Linked DNA regions of Arabidopsis thaliana. The protein of the gene in region 1 purifies or fractionates together with the protein of each later gene. This does not show direct contact. Each region holds a gene or a part of one and is shown in the gene's direction. Other genes may lie near its edges. The genes, in order: AT3G53580, hemf2, AGD2 and AT1G12230.

What was found.
Region 2: the proteins of AT3G53580 (region 1) and hemf2 fractionate together in Arabidopsis thaliana (co-fractionation; one large-scale study listed by BioGRID). This does not show direct contact.
Region 3: the proteins of AT3G53580 (region 1) and AGD2 fractionate together in Arabidopsis thaliana (co-fractionation; one large-scale study listed by BioGRID). This does not show direct contact.
Region 4: the proteins of AT3G53580 (region 1) and AT1G12230 fractionate together in Arabidopsis thaliana (co-fractionation; one large-scale study listed by BioGRID). This does not show direct contact.

Annotation. Positions count from the first base shown.
Region 1 is NC_003074.8:19,862,739-19,867,673, forward strand, and holds AT3G53580 (diaminopimelate epimerase family protein), read left to right. Parts: upstream 1-1,892; 5' UTR 1,893-2,045; coding exon 2,046-2,321; intron 2,322-2,427; coding exon 2,428-2,595; intron 2,596-2,672; coding exon 2,673-2,743; intron 2,744-2,843; coding exon 2,844-2,901; intron 2,902-3,004; coding exon 3,005-3,184; intron 3,185-3,272; coding exon 3,273-3,357; intron 3,358-3,479; coding exon 3,480-3,539; intron 3,540-3,640; coding exon 3,641-3,714; intron 3,715-4,052; coding exon 4,053-4,169; 3' UTR 4,170-4,396; downstream 4,397-4,935. Other genes in the region: FC1 (serine/threonine-protein kinase AFC1), read right to left, coding at 125-239, 352-400, 484-637, 765-791, 894-1,068, 1,220-1,387; AT3G53590 (LRR receptor-like Serine/Threonine-kinase), read right to left, coding at 4,641-4,935.
Region 2 is NC_003075.7:1,410,841-1,415,330, forward strand, and holds hemf2 (Coproporphyrinogen III oxidase), read left to right. Parts: upstream 1-1,944; 5' UTR 1,945-1,973; coding exon 1,974-2,498; intron 2,499-2,586; coding exon 2,587-2,662; intron 2,663-2,741; coding exon 2,742-2,863; 3' UTR 2,864-2,919; coding exon of another isoform or gene 2,920-2,925; 3' UTR 2,926-3,684; intron 3,685-3,777; 3' UTR 3,778-3,942; downstream 3,943-4,490. Other genes in the region: AT4G03200 (catalytics), read left to right, coding at 1-96, 189-452, 534-644, 716-940, 1,013-1,216, 1,294-1,470, 1,541-1,726. UniProt on the Arabidopsis thaliana protein: Key enzyme in heme biosynthesis. Catalyzes the oxidative decarboxylation of propionic acid side chains of rings A and B of coproporphyrinogen III.
Region 3 is NC_003075.7:16,171,134-16,176,686, reverse strand, and holds AGD2 (Pyridoxal phosphate (PLP)-dependent transferases superfamily protein), read left to right. Parts: upstream 1-1,963; 5' UTR 1,964-2,056; coding exon 2,057-2,139; intron 2,140-2,377; coding exon 2,378-2,454; intron 2,455-2,572; coding exon 2,573-2,640; intron 2,641-2,835; coding exon 2,836-2,952; intron 2,953-3,236; coding exon 3,237-3,299; intron 3,300-3,511; coding exon 3,512-3,616; intron 3,617-3,701; coding exon 3,702-3,752; intron 3,753-3,853; coding exon 3,854-4,174; intron 4,175-4,249; coding exon 4,250-4,456; intron 4,457-4,546; coding exon 4,547-4,840; 3' UTR 4,841-5,006; downstream 5,007-5,553. Other genes in the region: AT4G33700 (CBS domain protein (DUF21)), read left to right, coding at 1-21, 96-140; AT4G33690 (G patch domain protein), read right to left, coding at 550-838, 944-1,226, 1,321-1,489; AT4G33670 (NAD(P)-linked oxidoreductase superfamily protein), read left to right, coding at 5,241-5,410. UniProt on the Arabidopsis thaliana protein: Required for lysine biosynthesis. Catalyzes the direct conversion of tetrahydrodipicolinate to LL-diaminopimelate, a reaction that requires three enzymes in E.coli. Not active with meso-diaminopimelate, lysine or ornithine as substrates.
Region 4 is NC_003070.9:4,146,265-4,151,603, forward strand, and holds AT1G12230 (Aldolase superfamily protein), read left to right. Parts: upstream 1-1,697; 5' UTR 1,698-1,785; coding exon 1,786-1,839; intron 1,840-1,929; coding exon 1,930-2,071; intron 2,072-2,474; coding exon 2,475-2,553; intron 2,554-2,645; coding exon 2,646-2,711; intron 2,712-2,815; coding exon 2,816-2,891; intron 2,892-2,985; coding exon 2,986-3,069; intron 3,070-3,162; coding exon 3,163-3,267; intron 3,268-3,356; coding exon 3,357-3,437; intron 3,438-3,512; coding exon 3,513-3,577; intron 3,578-3,671; coding exon 3,672-3,741; intron 3,742-3,814; coding exon 3,815-3,990; intron 3,991-4,074; coding exon 4,075-4,213; intron 4,214-4,297; coding exon 4,298-4,444; 3' UTR 4,445-4,792; downstream 4,793-5,339. Other genes in the region: RPS5 (Disease resistance protein (CC-NBS-LRR class) family), read left to right, coding at 1-1,416.

The DNA of each region.
Region 1 (4,935 bases):
TTATCGAAAGAACATTAAGTAATAACTATTAACGCCTAAGTCTTGTATCAAAAAGTTAAGAAAAATGATTTGTGGCACTAATGGACTACTATATAGAAGAATGGGTCAAGAATATTCCACACACATGCAACAGACTCCAAAAGTTGTCTGCCAAGCTCCCGAACAAGATCAATGGGAAATGAACGGTAGCTGTTTTTGCGGAGAAAATCATATAAGCTTGGTCCAAGCTTCTCAAATACCTGTTGAAACCATTTAAACCCATGCGCAAGTTCTTTTAACTCACATAACATTTGGGCGTGAAGAAATTGCATTTTCCCCTCAAACTTGTCAAATAAAGGTAACAGCACTTACAATACAAATATGATTACGATAGTCAAACCAATTCCGTATTTGCACACAACTGCAAGGAATTGAAAAGCTTATACCAAATGTAATAAAATTAAAACTAGCGAAGAAATAGTAAGAGGAAAGAAATATTCTTACCGAGAACCACCGACATCATGCCTTGTAAGCCTCTGCAGCACGTCAATTTCGATCATGGCAGCTTCACGATACTTGTTTATGGACCGTATAACTTTGATTGCCACGACTTCTTTGTTTTTATTATCAAAGCATTCCAATACTTGTCCAAATGTACCTGCCAAAATACAATCCAATTGATTAAGATAACTGGCGACCAAATAAACATATTTCTCCTACACTTTGAAAAACAGAATAATCTAATCATAATGATTATATAAACATTTTCGCAAGAGATGACTAACCTTCACCCATTTTGCTGAGAATTTGATCTGCACGCACAATAGAAGAGGCATGTCAATGTAAACCTCCATGATAAAGTCTGTGAAACGTAACAGATAAGATGTCGAAAGACTCTGTAACATAAGACTCACATCGTGGAGTCAAAGTATCCCCAACAACAAAGACATAATGGCCGTCTTTATCATCTGGTCTCCAGGGAGGAGAGCCCTGACGAGGAAGGCCATTATAGAACATGTTTGGGTAAACAAAATTGGGAACTAAACCACTCGCAAACTCCGGACCATAGTACAACGGAGGTTGAAATACCTGAAAGAAAAAAACACATCAGCTGAAACTTAGCTCAAGCACACAAATAAAAATCTTAATTTCTTACTAGTTAACACAATTCGCAGTATCTTATGAAAACAACAAAAGAACAGTCCATTGATACCAATACAATATGTGGACAATTCGTTACCGTGGGTGGAGGAGGAGGAGGAAGAAGAGGCGGAGCAGCATCCCAAGTCAATCGGGGACGTTTCCTGGGACGCTTATCAACGATCCGATGAGGGAATTCAACATTCCTCTGAGTTTCTAAGATCATCGCGATCGAGCTAGCTTTATCACGATACACACTGCTTTGCATAAAGGATTAGAAAAATGCAAATCCAGAGCTGAAATTCAGAAACCCAGATTATGAACAGCGAGAGAATTGCGATTGAATTTCGAATCTAATTAGAGGGATAATAAGATTCCGAAATTCGAAACCCTAGTTATCTTCAATTTGGGGGGGATCTATCTCCAGAAGATAACTAAAAAAGGTGGGAAAAGTAACAGAAAAATATATTAAAAAAAGTGGAAGTAATGTAGCTAATAAACTAACCGCAAATTTCTCTCACACAGAGTAATTTAAAACGTTGAATTAGTCGCTGTCGTAATTTGATCGCCGGAATTCAGATCGGAGAAACAATAAAAATGCTCACTGAATTGGAATTGAAGAAAAAAATCTCAGGAGAAAATATTTAACAGCGAAAGAGACTGAAATGAGAGAGAGAGAGAGAACCTGAGGAAGAGAACAGCGAAGGAGCGACAGAGGCTCTGGAAGTTCTTAATGGGCTTTTTTAGTCAGGCCTTTATTAAATATATGTTGACTAAAGAAACGACATGATGTTATTACTGTTGAGGATAAAAACGACGTGGAGTTCAGTTATTTAATATCAGAACAATGGGGTGTTTTCTCCAAAGTCTTTTAATATGGAGGAGACGGGAGAGTCGTTGAACAAGAAAAATAATCTGAAGCAGCCATGGAGATAGCCGCCGTTAGCACTGTCTCCGTCGCGCCACAATCGCGCAGAGTGTCGAATGCGTTCTCCAGGAATCTAGGATCCGTATCTTCTCTTTCGTTTGGTTTCTTTGAGAAAGAATATTGCTTTAAGAGCCCTAGCCTTCGTGTGTCTGCAGCAGCTTCCATGGACGCCGTCACAGCTGAGAAATTTTCTCCGGCGAGTTTTCTAGACAAAAAAGAAACCGGAGTTCTTCACTTTGTGAAATACCATGGCCTCGGCAATGACTTCATTTTGGTACTTTTGTTCACCGTTGAATTCTCAATTTGGTAATTTAACCCGAAATGTATCGAATTCTTACAAATGTTTTCAAATTTTTCGTCTTTGGAATTGGATTTTGTAGGTCGATAACAGAGACTCATCGGAACCTAAGATTACTCAAGAACAGGCGGCGAAGCTGTGTGATCGAAACTTCGGTGTTGGTGCCGATGGAGTGATTTTTGCAATGCCAGGAGTCAATGGTACTGATTACGCAATGCGGATTTTCAATTCAGATGGTAGTGAACCAGAGGTGGGGCTTTTCGATGATAATGTCTGGTGATATGTTGTTGCGCTCGAAGTCATTGGCTTTTGATTTTGTTCTTGTAGATGTGTGGCAATGGAGTTCGATGCTTTGCTAGGTTCATTGCTGAGCTTGAGAATTTGCAGGGAAAACATAGGTATCTCTATCTGTATTGAGAAATATCTGTTTAGACTTGAGAGTTCCGAGTTTAGTCAAGCTTGATGTAACCTTAAGTGTCTATTTATTTGTTTTTGTAGTTTTACAATACATACCGGTGCCGGGTTGATTGTTCCAGAAATTCAAGATGACGGACAGGTAGATCATTTGGATTGATGTCTCATATTAGGTTTAGTCGTATTCATGATGATGGGTAAGGTAAAGTTTGGATTTTTATTTTTTGTGATTGATATTGGTACAGGTTAAGGTTGACATGGGGACACCGATTCTTAAAGCACAAGATGTGCCCACGAAATTGTCAGGGAACAAAGGTGAAGCTGTTGTTGAGGCAGAGCTAGTTGTTGATGGAGTAAGCTGGAATGTGACGTGTGTTAGTATGGGCAATCCTCACTGTATCACATTTGGTAAAAAGGGTGGACCGGTGCGTGTTTCGTTACTAGACTTCTAATCATATTATTTGTCTACACGTGAATTTCTTATCATTTGTAATTTTGGTTTGTGTCAACCAGAATCTGAAAGTTGATGATTTGAACTTACCAGAGATTGGTCCAAAGTTCGAGCATCATGAAATGTTCCCAGCTCGAACTAACACAGGTTAGTGGAGATTCATCGGCAGATGTATCCAGATTTCCATTGACTGATACAGCAAGACTTCTCGCTTATATTTGGATTTATATCCCTTTAGTTGTCTTACAGTTCTTTCTGTGTATCCGCAGAATTTGTTGAGGTCTTATCACGTTCTCATTTGAAAATGCGTGTGTGGGAGCGCGGAGCAGGTCCGCAAATTCCCCCCAATCTTCGAATATAATTCTCAGTTGATTATAAACAGTCTCTGTATCCTTATATGCTTAATGCTTACGCATACTTAAAACTGCAGGAGCAACTTTGGCCTGTGGAACTGGAGCTTGTGCTCTGGTTGTTGCAGCAGTCCTTGAAGGTCGAGCCGACAGGGTAAGTTTGGAATTTCAGAACTTAAAAAACTAGATAACAGTTTGCAAAATGGTACACTGGATTAGCAGTTTTTAAGCATTTTTTATGAAACCTGAATGTTGCATTGAATGGTTGGATGATTTGATTGGTAGACGATTGATGAGATTATGATTTTACTAAGTACTTTTCGTTCGCTTCGTCTCTTGTGGGAGAATCTTGTATTCGTTTTTTTTGGTTCTTCACTCTCACACAAATGTTTCTTGGATATTCATTGGAGCTTAAAGATTGTCATGAGCTGAGATTAGCTGCATGTGGTGACCTTGAGTTCCTCATATATGTATTGGTTTATGGTGGAACAGAAATGCACGGTGGATCTACCGGGCGGACCATTGGAGATAGAGTGGAAACAGGAAGACAACCATATCTACATGACGGGTCCTGCAGAAGCTGTTTTCTATGGATCAGCGCTGCTCTAATGGGCCTTCACAGTCGATGACTTCTCCTCTCTCTGTTGTTGTTCTTTTGGGGTCTGTGTGTTCTAATTCAAACGTGTGAAGCTCTTACCTGTCCTGCTAGATTGTGTTTCATGGATTTTGTTTATGTACTTTTATTGTTTTCAGAGTATCCAAACCTTTTGATTTGTTGCTGCATCTATGTTCATAATTTAAATCTTCTTTTCCTCGGAATATAGCTCTCTTCTACACTGATTCTCCACCAGACCAGACATTGTCAATGGCCGTGGTTGCACATAATGACAAGAGAAATGAAACTTGAGAGAATACAAAACCGCATATGTACATGATAAGATTGGTTAGCTTCCATATCTGCATAGATATTAGCTTATATGGTTAGGAATCAGGACAACATAACTGGTATCATAATATCTCCTAAGTATAATAACACAACTCTCATTAGTCTGATGTTAGCCTATCTCACACAAATATTTGTCAACGAGGTTTTACAGCGTGGAAAAAGCCACTGTCCAAGTTACTTCCAGGAAGTAAAGACAATGGCGAGGGTACAGAAGAAGATGACGGCGATGTTTTGGAGCAGAGTAATTTCGTTGTTTCTGAGAACATTTCGGGTTCTCGCACAGATTGGCAAATACCTTCAAGTTCTTTCACCACTTTTGACATTGGTGGTCTCGTCTCTGGTCTATCTTCACAACACCATAAAGCTAATTCCGCCAACTTCTTCACTTTATCGGGCGAACATTGTCCCATCCGACTATCCGCCACTGAC
Region 2 (4,490 bases), on another chromosome or scaffold:
GGTGGAATATTCTCAGCTGAAGATGCCGATAGCTTTGAGTTCGAGGGGGCAAAGAGAAAGAAAGAAGGAGCTTTCTATATATGGACAAGCGATGAGGTTCTTTTCTCTGATATATGATATATTCATGAGCTGACTCTGGTTTCCCTCTGCATACTGACATTTGTTTTGCGTGTGTGTTTGGTTTCAAGATTGATGAAGTCCTCGGGGAGAATGCTGATCTTTTCAAGGAGCATTATTATGTTAAGAAATCAGGTAACTGCGATCTTTCGAGCAGGAGTGACCCGCACAATGAATTTGCTGGGAAGAACGTGCTGATCGAAAGAAATGAGACGTCTGCTATGGCATCAAAGTTTAGCCTCTCTGTTGAGAAGTATCAGGAGATATTAGGTGAATGCCGAAGAAAGCTTTTCGATGTCAGATTGAAGCGACCTAAGCCGCATCTAGATGATAAGGTAATACTCTTCTTGGAATTCTCATGTTGTCTTCTCTACTGTTTCTTCAGATTTGTTAACCATTTAAGATTTCTTTCATAGATAATCGTGTCTTGGAACGGTCTTGTTATCTCGTCTTTCGCAAGAGCTTCCAAGATTCTTAAGGCTGAGCCTGAAAGCACCAAATATTATTTCCCTGTGGTGAATAGTCAGGTAATGAATGCTACACCCTTTCCTTTAATTTCTTCTTTGACCGTTTTGTAATTAGAAGACTCATTTTTCAGCCAGAGGATTACATAGAGGTTGCAGAGAAAGCAGCTTTGTTTATCAGAGGAAATCTCTATGATGAGCAGTCTCGCAGATTACAACACAGTTACAGACAGGGGCCATCCAAAGCTCCTGCCTTCTTAGACGATTATGCTTTCTTGATCTCTGGTTTACTCGATCTTTACGAGAATGGAGGTGGGATCGAATGGCTTAAGTGGGCGATTAAACTTCAAGAAACACAGGCAAGTGAGATCTTTACTAGCTCGATTTGTTAAAGTTCTTGATTTTGGCTAAAAAAGTTAAAAACATTTTAGGATGAGTTATATCTGGACCGAGAAGGAGGAGCATACTTCAATACTGAAGGACAAGACCCATCGGTTCTTCTTCGTGTAAAAGAAGATCATGATGGTGCAGAACCTTCAGGGAACTCTGTTTCTGCTATCAATCTTGTGAGGTTAGCTTCCATAGTCGCCGGAGAAAAAGCTGAATCCTACCTCAACACGGCACATCGTCTCCTGGTAAACAAACAAACAACTAATCCCATTTGCTATTCATAGAAAGAGATTATTGAGTCTCTTTGTTGTTGTTTTTGCAGGCAGTCTTTGAGTTGAGGTTAAGAGAACTGGCGGTGGCTGTGCCATTAATGTGCTGCTCCGCAGATATGATCTCTGTTCCGTCGAGGAAACAAGTTGTATTGGTTGGTTCTAAGTCTTCCCCAGAGCTTACCAACATGCTTTCTGCAGCACATTCAGTCTATGATCCTAATAAAACGGTAAGAGCTTAAAAAATTATCCAAATTTCTAGATTCAAGATTTGTGACTTTTGGTGGTTTTACTGAGCAGGTGATTCACATAGATCCCTCTAGTTCTGATGAAATCGAGTTTTGGGAAGAGCATAACAGTAATGTAGCTGAGATGGCTAAGAAGAACAGAAACTCAGAGAAAGTGGTGGCTCTTGTTTGTCAACACTTCACTTGCAGTCCTCCTGTCTTTGACTCTTCTTCTCTCACTCGCTTGCTTTCCAAGTAAACAAAGATCATTCCATGTTTAATAGTTGCTTGTACTGTAAGGAACAGATCAACGTTGTTCTCTCTGTTACAGTCTTACAGAGTAGATAAATAAAGAAGAGAACTAAACCGAGTATGAGGTTTTTTGGTTGAACTAAACCGGAAATAACCGGGTTTGGTTTGGTTAAAAAAACAGAGCTTTGACGATTCCTTATCATCTTCTATCTTCAGCAAAAAGGTGAAAACTTGGATTCGATCGATCGCTGAAAATGGCGTCTCACTCTTCGACTCTCTTCACTTCTCCTTCTTCCTTCATTCTCTTCTCTTCTCATCGTCTCAAATCTTCTCCGAATTACTTCACTTACCACTTTCCTCGTTCCGTAAAGAGACCACATTTCGACTTGCGATGCTCAGTCTCAATCGAGAAAGAAGTTCCGGAAACAGAAAGACCTTTCACTTTCCTCAGAGTCTCCGACGGCGATCAAACTCAATCTTCTTCTTATTCGGTTAGGGCTCGTTTCGAGAAAATGATAAGAACTGCTCAAGATAAAGTCTGTGAAGCCATTGAAGCAGTCGAAGAAGGTCCTAAATTCAAGGAAGATGTTTGGTCTCGACCCGGTGGAGGTGGTGGAATCAGTCGTATTTTGCAAGACGGAAATGTATGGGAGAAAGCTGGAGTTAATGTCTCTGTGATTTATGGTGTTATGCCTCCTGAAGCTTATAGAGCTGCTAAAGCTGCCACGTCTGAGCAAAAACCTGGTCCGATTCCGTTCTTTGCCGCTGGAACCAGCTCGGTGAGTTCTCTCTCTCTCTCTCTATCAGTCGACATTGCTGTTGATATGGTCTCTGAGTTCTTTGATTGAGCTTGATCCTACATTCTAGGTTTTGCATCCTCAGAACCCTTTTGCTCCGACTCTGCATTTCAATTACCGCTATTTCGAGACCGATGCTCCAAAGGGTAAGACCTTAATCCTCTTTGAGAAGTGTAAAGTTCCAATTTTTTGGTTGGATGAAGCATTTGATTTCATCACTTGTAGATGTTCCTGGAGCTCCGAGGCAATGGTGGTTCGGTGGTGGGACTGACTTCACACCTGCTTACATCTTTGAAGAAGACGTCAAGCACTTTCATTCGGTCGTTAAACCTGATCCATTGTTCTGAAAGTTTGAAGCTTTGTGATTATGGAGATGCTGATTGAAATATCTTTCTTTGTGTAGGTTTAAAAGCAAGCCTGCGATAAATTTGATCCGTCGTTCTACCCTTGGTTTAAGAAATGGTGTGATGACTACTTTTACATTAAGGTCTGCAGTTCCTTTAACGCTATTCTGATTGTTTGGTGAGATCTTAGCACTTTGTGGAACTAAAAGACCTTAGTTTTAGAGTCATGTATGTGCAAGAATAGATTTAGAGCCTCAAGGTTTTGTTTAGGTTGATACAGTGATAAGTTGTCGCCTAGGATTTGAAAACACTAAAAACTTTACGGTCTTGCCTGCAGCACCGTGATGAGAGGCGAGGGCTTGGAGGGATATTTTTTGATGATTTGAATGACTATGATCAAGAGATGCTTCTGTCATTCGCCACTGGTAGTGACCAAGATATAACTTGTGACATTTTGTTTTAAGAAACTTCCTAGTTGACTTATTTGAATACTGAGATGAATTTTGCAGAATGTGCAAGCTCAGTGATACCAGCTTCTATACCCATAGTAGAGAAACGTAAAGACACACCATTTAACGAGCAACACAAGGCATGGCAACAGCTGCGAAGGGGCAGATATGTTGAATTCAACTTCGTAATTGGATACTACTAGCTTTGTTTTTCTTTCTGTATAAATATCTCTTGAAACCTCGTCTCATGTTTTGTTGCTGATGGTAAAAATAAAGGTGTATGACCGCGGAACAACATTTGGTCTGAAGACTGGAGGACGAATAGAGAGTATCCTTGTCTCTCTTCCGCTATCTGCGAGATGAGAATATGACCATGTAAAGTTTCTTGATTCAAGAAACTAAATCTTGTTTCATCTTAGCTAATGAAACTTAACTACTGATGGTGTTTGTCTCTTGTTGCGGATGCAGAAACCTGAAGAAGGAACTGAGGAATGGAAACTATTAGATGCTTGTATCAATCCAAAAGAGTGGCTTTAGTTAATTAATTGTGGTTATTTCCCCAATTAGCTCTTTTATTAGTTTTGTCTTTAAAAGCCTTAAAAGAGTAAAGAGTCTAATGAAAAGTGAGTGAGATAAAGAAATTGTAATTTGGCGTCATCTCATCATGAGTCACTGACAAACAAAGATCATGATGGTTGATGATGGAGTATATAGTACCAATCGTGATGATGATGATAAAAGTAATTAACTTTTAATTTTTTTTACTGACACAGTAAAAATAAGAGCCGTTGGCTCAAATAGCCGAGCCTCTCGGTGCACGCACGCATGCCACTTGCTCGGTAACTGTTCACTAGACAGAACACAACAACACTCAAATAGAGTGATAACATTGAATCTGATGATTTGGTTTAGTATAAAAATCGTTTCCAAGTTTCAACGAGTGGGACTTGTGTTAGGTTAAACAATTTCGGATTAAGTAAACGTCACTGTCTCATTTGTCTTGATACAAGAAACGCCCGTGATATTTTTTCTTCGATGTCGTCCAATGGGGACAAAGAAACAATTTAGTCCCCGGATATACACACACACACACAAATAATACATGGGTGTTGTTATTATGGCTTACCTTACACAACACAACTTGCCAATGTTTTTAAATTTACTAAAAACCAAAGCCAGAA
Region 3 (5,553 bases), on another chromosome or scaffold:
GTCATTGAAGAACTTCTGCAGGTAAGGAATCTTATATAAGTTAAAAACAAAAATTCTTTTTCACGGATTAATTATTGCTTGGCTTGTGGTTGCAGGAGGAGATCTTTGACGAAACTGATCACCATTTTGAAGACTCCTAACACAGAGTGCATGACCACTGAACTGGTTATGAATGTCGAAAACTTTAGTCTTTGTTTTCAACTTTCAAACTGTCACTTGTCCGGCGAATGTGTATCAATGTAGGCATGAACAACAACTTTTTCTATGGTTTCAAGATGTTTTCTCTCTATATATATATCATTGGTCTCTAAGATATGTCGCTCTCTCCTTTCTTCAAAGAGTTTTACCAAATCTGAACCCTCATAGGCCACACCAATAGTTGTCTCTACTACCTATATATCATTAGTCTCTAAGATATGTCACTCTCTACCTTACTTCAAAGAGTTTTTATTCGCATTTTACTAATACAAGAATTAATGAAATATGATCATCTTATGGATACAACATCACTGCCGGTGTAAAAAGGCAATTACTTTTGTCCGGAAAGATCTAGTCCCTACCATATTTTCTCTTCTTCCTATCCCTTTTCTTCTCTTTTGACTTGTGTTTCTTACTAAGTTTCTTCTTATGCTCCTTTCTCTTTCTATGAGCCCGTTTGTAAACTTCCTCCTCGTCGGAAGAAGAAGAATCTGTCCTACGTCTCAATAAAGGTGATCGCTCTGGCTGAATCACTAGCTTCCGATCTCCTGTATCAGAAGTTCTTGACAATTCCCTCTCAGGAAGACAGGGTAGCGGTTCATCCATCATAGCACCAACAGAACCTCTGCCACGCTTGACCCTATCATAGACCAGAATCACAAGTTTTATCAGCAAAAGCCGATCCCAAATTCGATCATTATTGTAAAGGAAATAATCAGGCAGCATCTGAGTATAATGGAAATACCTTGATTGGAGAAAAGTCTTAACCTCGACATCTCCTAAGCCTTCATCATCATCATCCTCTGATTGCCATCTTTTGCTTCTGCTCCGGCTTGATGATGGTGATAAACTAGTAGTAGTAACATTCTCATCAACTGAAGTACATCTCTTTAAAAAATCCCTCCTATTGTTCTGCTCACTTTGACCATTGCTGCTCTCATCTCTTGATTTTCTTTTGAGCCTTTCACCAAACTCAATCTCTTTACTCCGAAGACTCCACATCTCATTGGTTTCCACAGCTTTGTTTGCTGAATGGAATAAAGAAGAAACAAATAAGAGATAAACTAAAAAAAAACTAGATTTTGTTGGATAGAAGCAAAGTCTGTCAACAAAAGATTATACCTTGCTGAACACCAAGAACTGTAGCAGTGAGAAATCTAGAGTTAGGTCGATGCCTTACATTAGGCTTCTCAAGATATGCTCTGACGCCATCTTTCTCAGCTTGTCTCCTCAATTCTGCTGCTTCTCTTAAAAGAATGGAAGCTATTCGATTTTCAGTTTCCAGATCCATCTACTCCAAGGTAAAACAAAAAAGTATAAGCCTAATCAAGTTATGTGATCAAATCAATCTGGGTAGATCAAACAAAGATGGAGTTGAACTTAATTCGACCACTACAGCTATCTAAATCATTGCTTCTTAATCACAGAACTTCCACTAAAGCTACGTTCTTTCGACAACGAAATCAACGAAGCAAAACAAACAAAATTACGTAAACACACAACAATCGAAAAGGGGATTTTTGGAGAACCCTATTGGTCGAGATTAATTACCACGAAATCGAATTGACTCAGATACAGATATCTAGTAGCAGCTTCACGAAATCGTGCGATTCCTCGGCGTTTTCCAGCAGGCGCAGAGCAAAATCATTGTCCGAGCCAGAGAGAGAAATAAATAAATTGAACTGAATTGGAAAATTCCCAAAAATTTCTAGTAAAACCGAACCGGAACAAACCGGATTAATTTCCTCTCAGACCAAACCGAAGAAGAACCCTAGTTTTATCAGTCTCACCAACTATCTCCCATGGTTCATTTGCTCTGCAAATTTGTCTGAAAAAATCTTTGTGCGAAGCAGGAAAAATGTCGTCGACCCATCAGTTAGTTTCTTCGATGATCTCTTCTTCCTCATCCACTTTCTTAGCCCCTTCAAATTTTAATCTCAGGTGCGTCGTTTTGTTTTCTTTTACTCTCTGTTTGCTACTGATATAATCTAGTGAGGATGAATATGAAATTGGATTCATTTCCAGAAATTAATTGTATGTTATGAATTTACTTGGAAATTTCAATCCTTTGGTTTTTAAGTCGATGTTGGATGGTGTTGTTTGGCCAGAGAACAGTGCATTTGCTTGTGATGATCATTGATTCATTTTTTTATTGGTTTGCTTTCCTTTTTGGCTTCAGAACTCGAAATGCTTGCTTACCCATGGCAAAACGGGTCAATACTTGCAAATGTGTTGCTACGCCGCAAGAGAAGATCGGTAATGTTCCTACTCCATGTTGTTTTTGCTGTAATGATTAGTAACATAGTTAATGATTTATCGTCTTTTAGCTGTTTATCTGTTTCTTACAATACATGATTTTGTTTTCTGTATGTAGAGTATAAGACCAAAGTGTCACGGAATTCAAACATGTCCAAACTTCAGGCTGGATACCTATTCCCGGAGGTTTGTTACCTGTTACTCTCTTGGTACTACTATTTAAGATTTCAAATACCTAAAGGAGTGGCATTTCAAGTTAACATTTTTGAAAGCTTCTAGTGATCTGAAATATTATAACTATCTGTGTAATAAGTTAATATATCCTCATTGATTCTGTATATAATGCTCCTCTCTCTTATTTTTTTGTGTGGATGCAAACAGATTGCAAGAAGAAGGTCTGCACACTTGTTGAAATATCCAGATGCACAAGTTATAAGTCTTGGAATAGGCGACACAACTGAGCCAATTCCTGAAGTGATCACTTCTGCTATGGCAAAGGTACCTCCTTATCTTAACTTAGCTTCATGTGCTCTTTGCCCTTCTCTGGGCTCTAGCATATTTTAAACTGATTTTACTAACACTGCCCTAACATGTATTATTTCGTTCATTTTGACAAAAATGTATAACATATTTTCTGTTTTGGCGTATTTGGATTATTAAACGAGAACTTCTCTGTAATCTAACAATGAAAATTATTCTGGTAGCATAGTTTTTTTGTTTGCTATACTATTCACACAGGCATGTAATCTCTAGAGATTAATCATGTTTTTTTTCTCTGACAGAAAGCTCATGAGTTGTCAACAATAGAGGGATATAGTGGTTATGGTGCTGAACAAGGTGCAAAGGTCAGTGCACCCTTCATTTCCACCTTATTGCGTTGTTATCATTTCTTTATTATCTGCCTTTGCACGTCACTTCAATTTTATTATGGATAGTCTTGAACTGCTGCTAAATTCAAGAGAAGATGGATTTAAACCTGTTTCTTACATGTAAAATCTTAAAGCTTAATCTGTTAAGTTTTTATCCAAACTAACCTTGATTTCACATATGTGAAAAGCCACTGAGAGCTGCTATTGCGAAAACATTCTACGGTGGCCTTGGCATAGGGGATGATGACGTTTTTGTTTCTGATGGAGCTAAATGTGATATCTCACGTCTCCAGGTTTGTTTTATTGCTGACTATTCATCTGTAATTGATACAAGATTAAGAAATATGAACAGCTGTTTCTTGATTCCACTTCTTGCAGGTTATGTTTGGTTCCAATGTTACAATTGCTGTTCAGGATCCTTCATATCCGGTAATTGGGCATATAGAAACCAAATTGCAGTTGTAGTCTTCTCTACTTTTGCTCCATTTTAACGTGGAACTATGCTGTCTCGTTTTTTTTGGATTATACAGGCTTATGTGGACTCCAGTGTTATTATGGGTCAGACTGGGCAATTTAACACTGATGTGCAAAAGTATGGAAACATCGAGTACATGAGATGCACTCCAGAGAATGGCTTCTTTCCCGACTTGTCCACCGTTGGCAGGACAGATATAATTTTCTTCTGTTCCCCAAATAACCCTACGGGTGCTGCTGCCACGAGAGAGCAACTAACGCAGTTAGTTGAGTTTGCAAAGAAGAACGGTTCTATAATAGTGTATGATTCCGCCTATGCAATGTACATGTCTGATGATAACCCACGATCCATCTTCGAAATCCCTGGAGCAGAGGAGGTAATAGACTGATTGATTATAACATTAAAAGGTCCATTTTTCAACATCTTTCTTCATGTGTACAACCGCTTACAGGTCGCTATGGAGACAGCTTCGTTCAGCAAATATGCTGGTTTCACTGGAGTTCGACTTGGTTGGACTGTCATCCCGAAAAAGCTACTCTATTCAGACGGTTTCCCTGTTGCCAAAGACTTCAATCGGATTATCTGCACTTGTTTCAATGGTGCATCTAATATCTCTCAAGCTGGTGCTCTTGCTTGCCTTACACCCGAAGGACTTGAGGTTAGCTTAGCTAAAGAGAGATCTCAAACCAGTTCCCACTAGTTCAGATATGCAAAATGATTTATTTTGTTGTCTTTTGAATCATTGCAGGCAATGCATAAGGTGATTGGATTCTATAAAGAAAACACAAACATAATCATTGACACATTCACATCTCTCGGGTATGATGTATATGGAGGAAAGAATGCGCCTTACGTATGGGTTCACTTCCCGAACCAAAGCTCATGGGATGTGTTTGCTGAGATTCTGGAGAAGACTCATGTGGTTACAACTCCAGGAAGTGGGTTTGGACCAGGGGGTGAAGGGTTCGTTCGTGTCAGTGCCTTTGGTCACAGAGAGAACATCTTAGAGGCATGTCGAAGATTCAAGCAGCTTTACAAATGAAGAACCTTGTTTGTAATCGTTCCTCATCATCATCACCCTCTTTAATGACATGATTTGAGTTAAAATAATGTCGTTTCCATTGTTTTCTGGAATTTGTAGAAGACACTTTTGACACCAGTGTTTCAAGCAATTTGGCAAAGTATTTTAACAACGAAATCAAAGTGCAAATAAGTGAACTAGTGTGGAAAATAAAATATTTAAATTGGACTGAGGAAGAACGTCAAAAAAATATAAAATTGGATTGGTTAAATAAATCTAAAATTGGACCGGGATGGGTGTTTTCGTAATTTAGGCTTGTTGAGCCACCGTGTGGGCAAAAATATCCAAAAACACAACACAAGTGTTGTCTTCTCGCGTCTCTCATCAACGAGAACCAGTTTTTTTGTTGATCCTATCAACAATGACGAAAATAGAGCTTCGAGCTTTGGGGAACACAGGGCTTAAGGTTAGCGCCGTTGGTTTTGGTGCCTCTCCGCTCGGAAGTGTCTTCGGTCCAGTCGCCGAAGATGATGCCGTCGCCACCGTGCGCGAGGCTTTCCGTCTCGGTATCAACTTCTTCGACACCTCCCCGTAAGCACTTCTTCTTCTTTTATATTTTCTAAAGATTACTGATTCTTCAATACTAATTGCTGATTCTCTGAATGTTGAGACTAATTTAATCGTTAAAGTCAAAATTTTTATTGGAAGGTTTCATATTTACTTTTTTATTTGGC
Region 4 (5,339 bases), on another chromosome or scaffold:
CCTGAAGACTATCTTATTGATAAAGAGGGGTTGGTAGACTACTGGATAAGTGAGGGATTCATAAATGAAAAAGAAGGCAGAGAGAGGAATATTAACCAAGGTTATGAGATAATTGGTACCCTTGTCCGTGCATGTTTGTTGTTGGAGGAAGAAAGGAACAAATCAAACGTGAAAATGCATGATGTGGTTCGTGAGATGGCTCTATGGATATCATCCGATCTTGGGAAGCAAAAGGAGAAATGTATTGTGCGAGCTGGTGTTGGGTTACGTGAAGTACCAAAAGTCAAGGATTGGAACACTGTGAGAAAGATTTCTTTGATGAATAATGAGATTGAAGAGATATTTGACAGTCACGAGTGTGCTGCACTTACAACTCTATTTCTCCAAAAGAACGACGTGGTAAAGATCTCGGCTGAATTCTTTCGATGTATGCCTCATCTGGTGGTTTTAGATCTATCAGAGAATCAGAGTCTTAATGAATTACCAGAAGAAATATCAGAGCTGGCCTCTTTGAGATATTTCAACTTGTCATATACATGTATACATCAACTACCCGTTGGTTTATGGACATTGAAAAAGCTAATACATCTGAATCTCGAACACATGAGCAGTCTTGGGAGTATATTAGGGATATCAAATTTGTGGAATTTGAGGACATTGGGACTACGAGATTCCAGACTGTTGCTAGATATGAGTTTAGTGAAGGAGCTGCAGCTCTTAGAACATCTAGAAGTTATAACCCTAGATATATCATCAAGTTTGGTTGCAGAGCCATTGTTATGCTCTCAAAGGTTGGTGGAATGTATAAAAGAGGTAGATTTTAAGTACCTTAAGGAAGAATCAGTGAGAGTATTGACTTTGCCAACCATGGGTAATCTCCGCAAGCTCGGGATAAAAAGATGTGGAATGAGGGAGATAAAGATAGAGAGGACAACTTCATCATCGTCTCGGAACAAAAGTCCCACAACTCCATGCTTCTCAAACCTCTCCAGAGTCTTTATAGCTAAATGCCATGGTCTTAAGGATTTGACGTGGCTTTTGTTTGCTCCTAATCTTACTTTTCTTGAAGTTGGGTTCTCAAAGGAAGTAGAGGATATAATTAGTGAAGAGAAAGCTGAGGAGCATTCAGCTACGATTGTTCCTTTTAGGAAATTGGAGACACTACACCTGTTTGAATTACGCGGGCTCAAGAGAATCTATGCAAAGGCTCTGCATTTTCCGTGTCTGAAAGTTATCCACGTAGAAAAATGTGAAAAGCTGAGAAAGCTTCCATTGGATTCTAAAAGTGGGATCGCGGGTGAAGAACTTGTCATATATTATGGAGAGAGAGAATGGATAGAAAGGGTTGAATGGGAGGACCAAGCAACTCAACTCCGTTTCTTACCTTCATCCAGGTGGCGGTGGAGAGAAACATAATGAACTTCACTTTCTTCTACAAACTTTTGTTGTCATGGTCTAAAGACATTTGCCGGTGTGTAAATCTCTTCCTTGTCTCTTCTTGTTTGCATAACCGTTCTCATCGTTCTTTTGGTTAGTGATCATTGGATTTGTACTTATCTCTTTCTCTAAACGATGAGTGTTTGTTTCGGCTTCATAGAAACATTACACAGAGACTCATGAGAAAATGAATAAAAACTTGCAAGTTCCTAACCATTGTAATAAAATAATAATTAACTGTCTTATCTCGTTGACAGTTTTCGGATAAATTAGAAAAGGCGGGACCCACGTTAATTGGAAGATATCAACGGCTGGATCTGCTTACTCAGATCAACTTCAGCGAAAAAAATGCCACTCTCGTTGCAATCTCCGCCTTGTGCAACTCTCTCTGCTTCAATCCGAGTACTCTCCTCTTCGCTTACTTCTTTCAATCGCATGTATTTGTGCATTGTTTGTTTTTTATCTAATGGATGCGAGCTTTGAACTTCGCAGAAGGGACGATGGAAGACGCTCGCCGCCGGATTCTCCGTTACTCCTCTTCCCGCCGTTAACTTCAGTCTTCGGCGATCGATTCCTCGGATTCTTGCTTCCGCTAGTTCCTCCTCCTCTCCTGCGTCTTCGTCTCTCGAAGCTGGTATTTGTTTATATCTTTGATGATCGTGTTTCTCATTAATTAATAAATACGATTTCTGGAAAGACAAAACAAAAGTATGGGTTTTTGAAAGATTGACTACGATTCAAGCTTTCTTTTTATGTGGGTTTGTTTTTATACTGTCTTGAGTCACTTGTTAGGAAACTATGCTTGACAAAGTTGCTATTTTTGGTTTACCTTTCTTAGTTCAGGACCTTCTGGTTGCTTTAGTTCTTAGCTGAACAGTGTTGATTTATGGTTGAATTTGAAGAAACAAATTGTGTATTTGGTGTTTAACATTGTTCTTGGATGATATCGGTTTTCCTAAAGTTCTCAACTTTATTTCTTCTGGAATGCTTTTAGATGATCATTGAGTTGTTTGATGAAATTGTGTTTTTTTTTTCAGGTGAGAACAATGAGCTAAATGCTGTTTCAGCTTTTAGTGAGATTGTTCCTGATACTGTCGTTTTCGATGACTTTGAGAGGTATGATATATATCTCTACTTCATGAGACTTTAGTTACACTGGTATATCATAAAAATGGAGTCAGACATTCTTAACTTGAGATTGTACTGAGTTTTTCTCTGGATCGAGGATACAAGAAAGAAATTAGCTTAAGATGTAAAAACTCACTCCCTCACAAGTATAACTTCTAACCTTTAGTTATTGTGAAAACCAGATAGTATAACCTTTTGGTTTTCTAATTGTGCTGGATTGATACCTTTGTTGTATTTTACTGATCTGCAGGTTTCCGCCGACTGCAGCTACTGTTAGCTCTGCTCTTCTTCTGGGTATCTGTGGTCTACCTGATACCATTTTCCGCGTAAGCATTTCAAGAGTTTTGATTCTTAGATGATAGTATATGACATCTCTTGTTTTGGGCTCATTTAATTTTGACATTTTTACATCATGATTAGAATGCTGTGGACATGGCTTTGGCGGATTCTTCTTGTGCAGGGCTTGAAACCACAGAATCTCGACTCTCTTGCTTTTTCAATAAGGTTGATCTTCTTATCCCTTATCTGTTTTTCCACTTCCAGATCTTTGCTGCTTAAAAGCTTTTTTTGCCCTTATTACTGATGAGAAAAGTGCAGGCTATTGTCAACGTAGGTGGCGATCTTGTCAAACTCGTTCCAGGTCGAGTTTCTACTGAAGTGGATGCACGTCTTGCTTATGACACAAATGGCATTATCCGCAAGGTAGTTACTACACCATATATATAAGATAATTTGATTATATGTCTCCTGTATCTTCAAATCACTAACTTGTGATGTGATGATGTGTGTAGGTTCATGATCTGCTGAGACTATACAATGAAATCGATGTACCACACGACCGGCTCCTATTCAAAATCCCTGCAACTTGGCAAGTAAGATTATTTTCAGCAAATACCAAAGCTTTACCTTTTACTGGTCTCTTAGTATTGTGCTTATCCCTCTCATAGGGTATTGAAGCTGCAAGATTGTTGGAATCAGAGGGAATCCAAACGCATATGACCTTTGTTTACAGGTACCATAAAACATACCTTTTGACTCTTTTATTTTAGAATTGTCTATCCATCTGATTTGTTTACTTTATAATTTCGTTTTGCATTCATCAACAGCTTTGCACAAGCTGCAGCAGCTTCTCAAGCCGGTGCTTCTGTCATTCAGATTTTCGTCGGTCGCCTCAGGGTAACCATTTTTTAAACAGATGCTGCTAAGTGATTTCAGTGATATGCCAAAGTTAATATCTTAAAATCATTAGGATTGGGCGCGTAATCATTCGGGAGATACCGAGATTGAATCTGCTATTAAATCGGGAGAAGATCCTGGTTTGGCCTTGGTCAAAAGATCATATAACTACATTCACAAGTATGGTTACAAGTCCAAGCTGATGGCTGCTGCTGTCCGGAACAAACAAGACTTGTTCAGTCTTCTCGGGTAAACTCAAACTTCCAAATCATAGCTTCGACCATCAATGGATTCTGATCACATTCTAACTTTCAATGTTCTCTTCAATCTCAGGGTCGATTATGTCATTGCACCATTAAAGGTACTGCAATCTCTTAAAGATTCACCCGCCATTCCCGATGATGAAAAATACTCATTTGTTCGGAAACTTACTCCTGAAACTGCAACACATTACCACTTCACCAACAAAGAGGTTAGTTCTGAAGCTAACCAACACTCATTTGCTTCTGGTTTCACTAAACCAGTGTCTCACCCTGTTTGTTTGATTCTGGTTTAGCTGGTCAAATGGGACCAGCTAAGCTTGGCTTCATCTATGGGTCCTGCATCAGTGGAGCTTTTATCAGCCGGTGTTGAAGGTTATGCGAACCAAGCGAAACGTGTTGAAGAGCTTTTCGGGAAGATTTGGCCACCTCCTAATGTCTAAATACACAGCTTTTCTCTTCATCAATAAGGATCTGTATCAATAAGAGAACTAAGTGTCCATGTTACTTGAACACTACCCTGTTTATCTTCCTGCCCTCTTTATCTTTTTCGTGGCTTGTTGTTCATCATGTCTGAGACTTGGGCTACAAGATAAGAGACTTTAGTTTTAAGACTAAAAGTCTAAAACCAAATCCTTTTCATGTTGTTTCGTCTGAACTTCGGTCTTTTTTTCTCTGTAATTGACTTAGTCGGTTCTCAGATCTCTGAGTCATGATTGTACCGATAAACCAAAATTGAACCGATTGTTTTTGTAAAACCAATCGGGTTCTATTAAAGTTCAAACTAAACTAAAAATTTAACTATGGACTGAAAATAAATAAAAAAATTCTTAGACAAAAAAAAGTTGGACATAGGCCAAACACTGTTTGTTTGACAAATTCTAAGATAAATGATAAAAAGATGAGTTTTTTTAGGGCGAGAAAGACGGTTTAAATCCAAAAAAAAAATTGGGAATTTATGTGTACCAAATGATAAATATCATGAAGACAATGAAGAGGATCAACATAAACTTATCAATCTCAGTCAGATGCATTATCTGATGTCTAGTCACTTCTCTATCCACCTTCTTTAATGTCATTTAGTAATTTTCACACAAGCAGAAACGTACCATGTTATAAATCTTATCTTCTAATGTTTACAAATTCGTACGTCTTACATTTAGTTGTTGACAAAAAAAAAAGATAATTGAAATTTAGTTCAATCATTTTTTTCCTGTGTGATTGCGTTTTTCCTTTGACGACATGTTGTTTGTGATTAATTATTGTGGGTTCATACCAATAATTATGAAATACCTAGATTATTTTTTAAAATATAGCTCGATTTAAATGTAGTGTCAT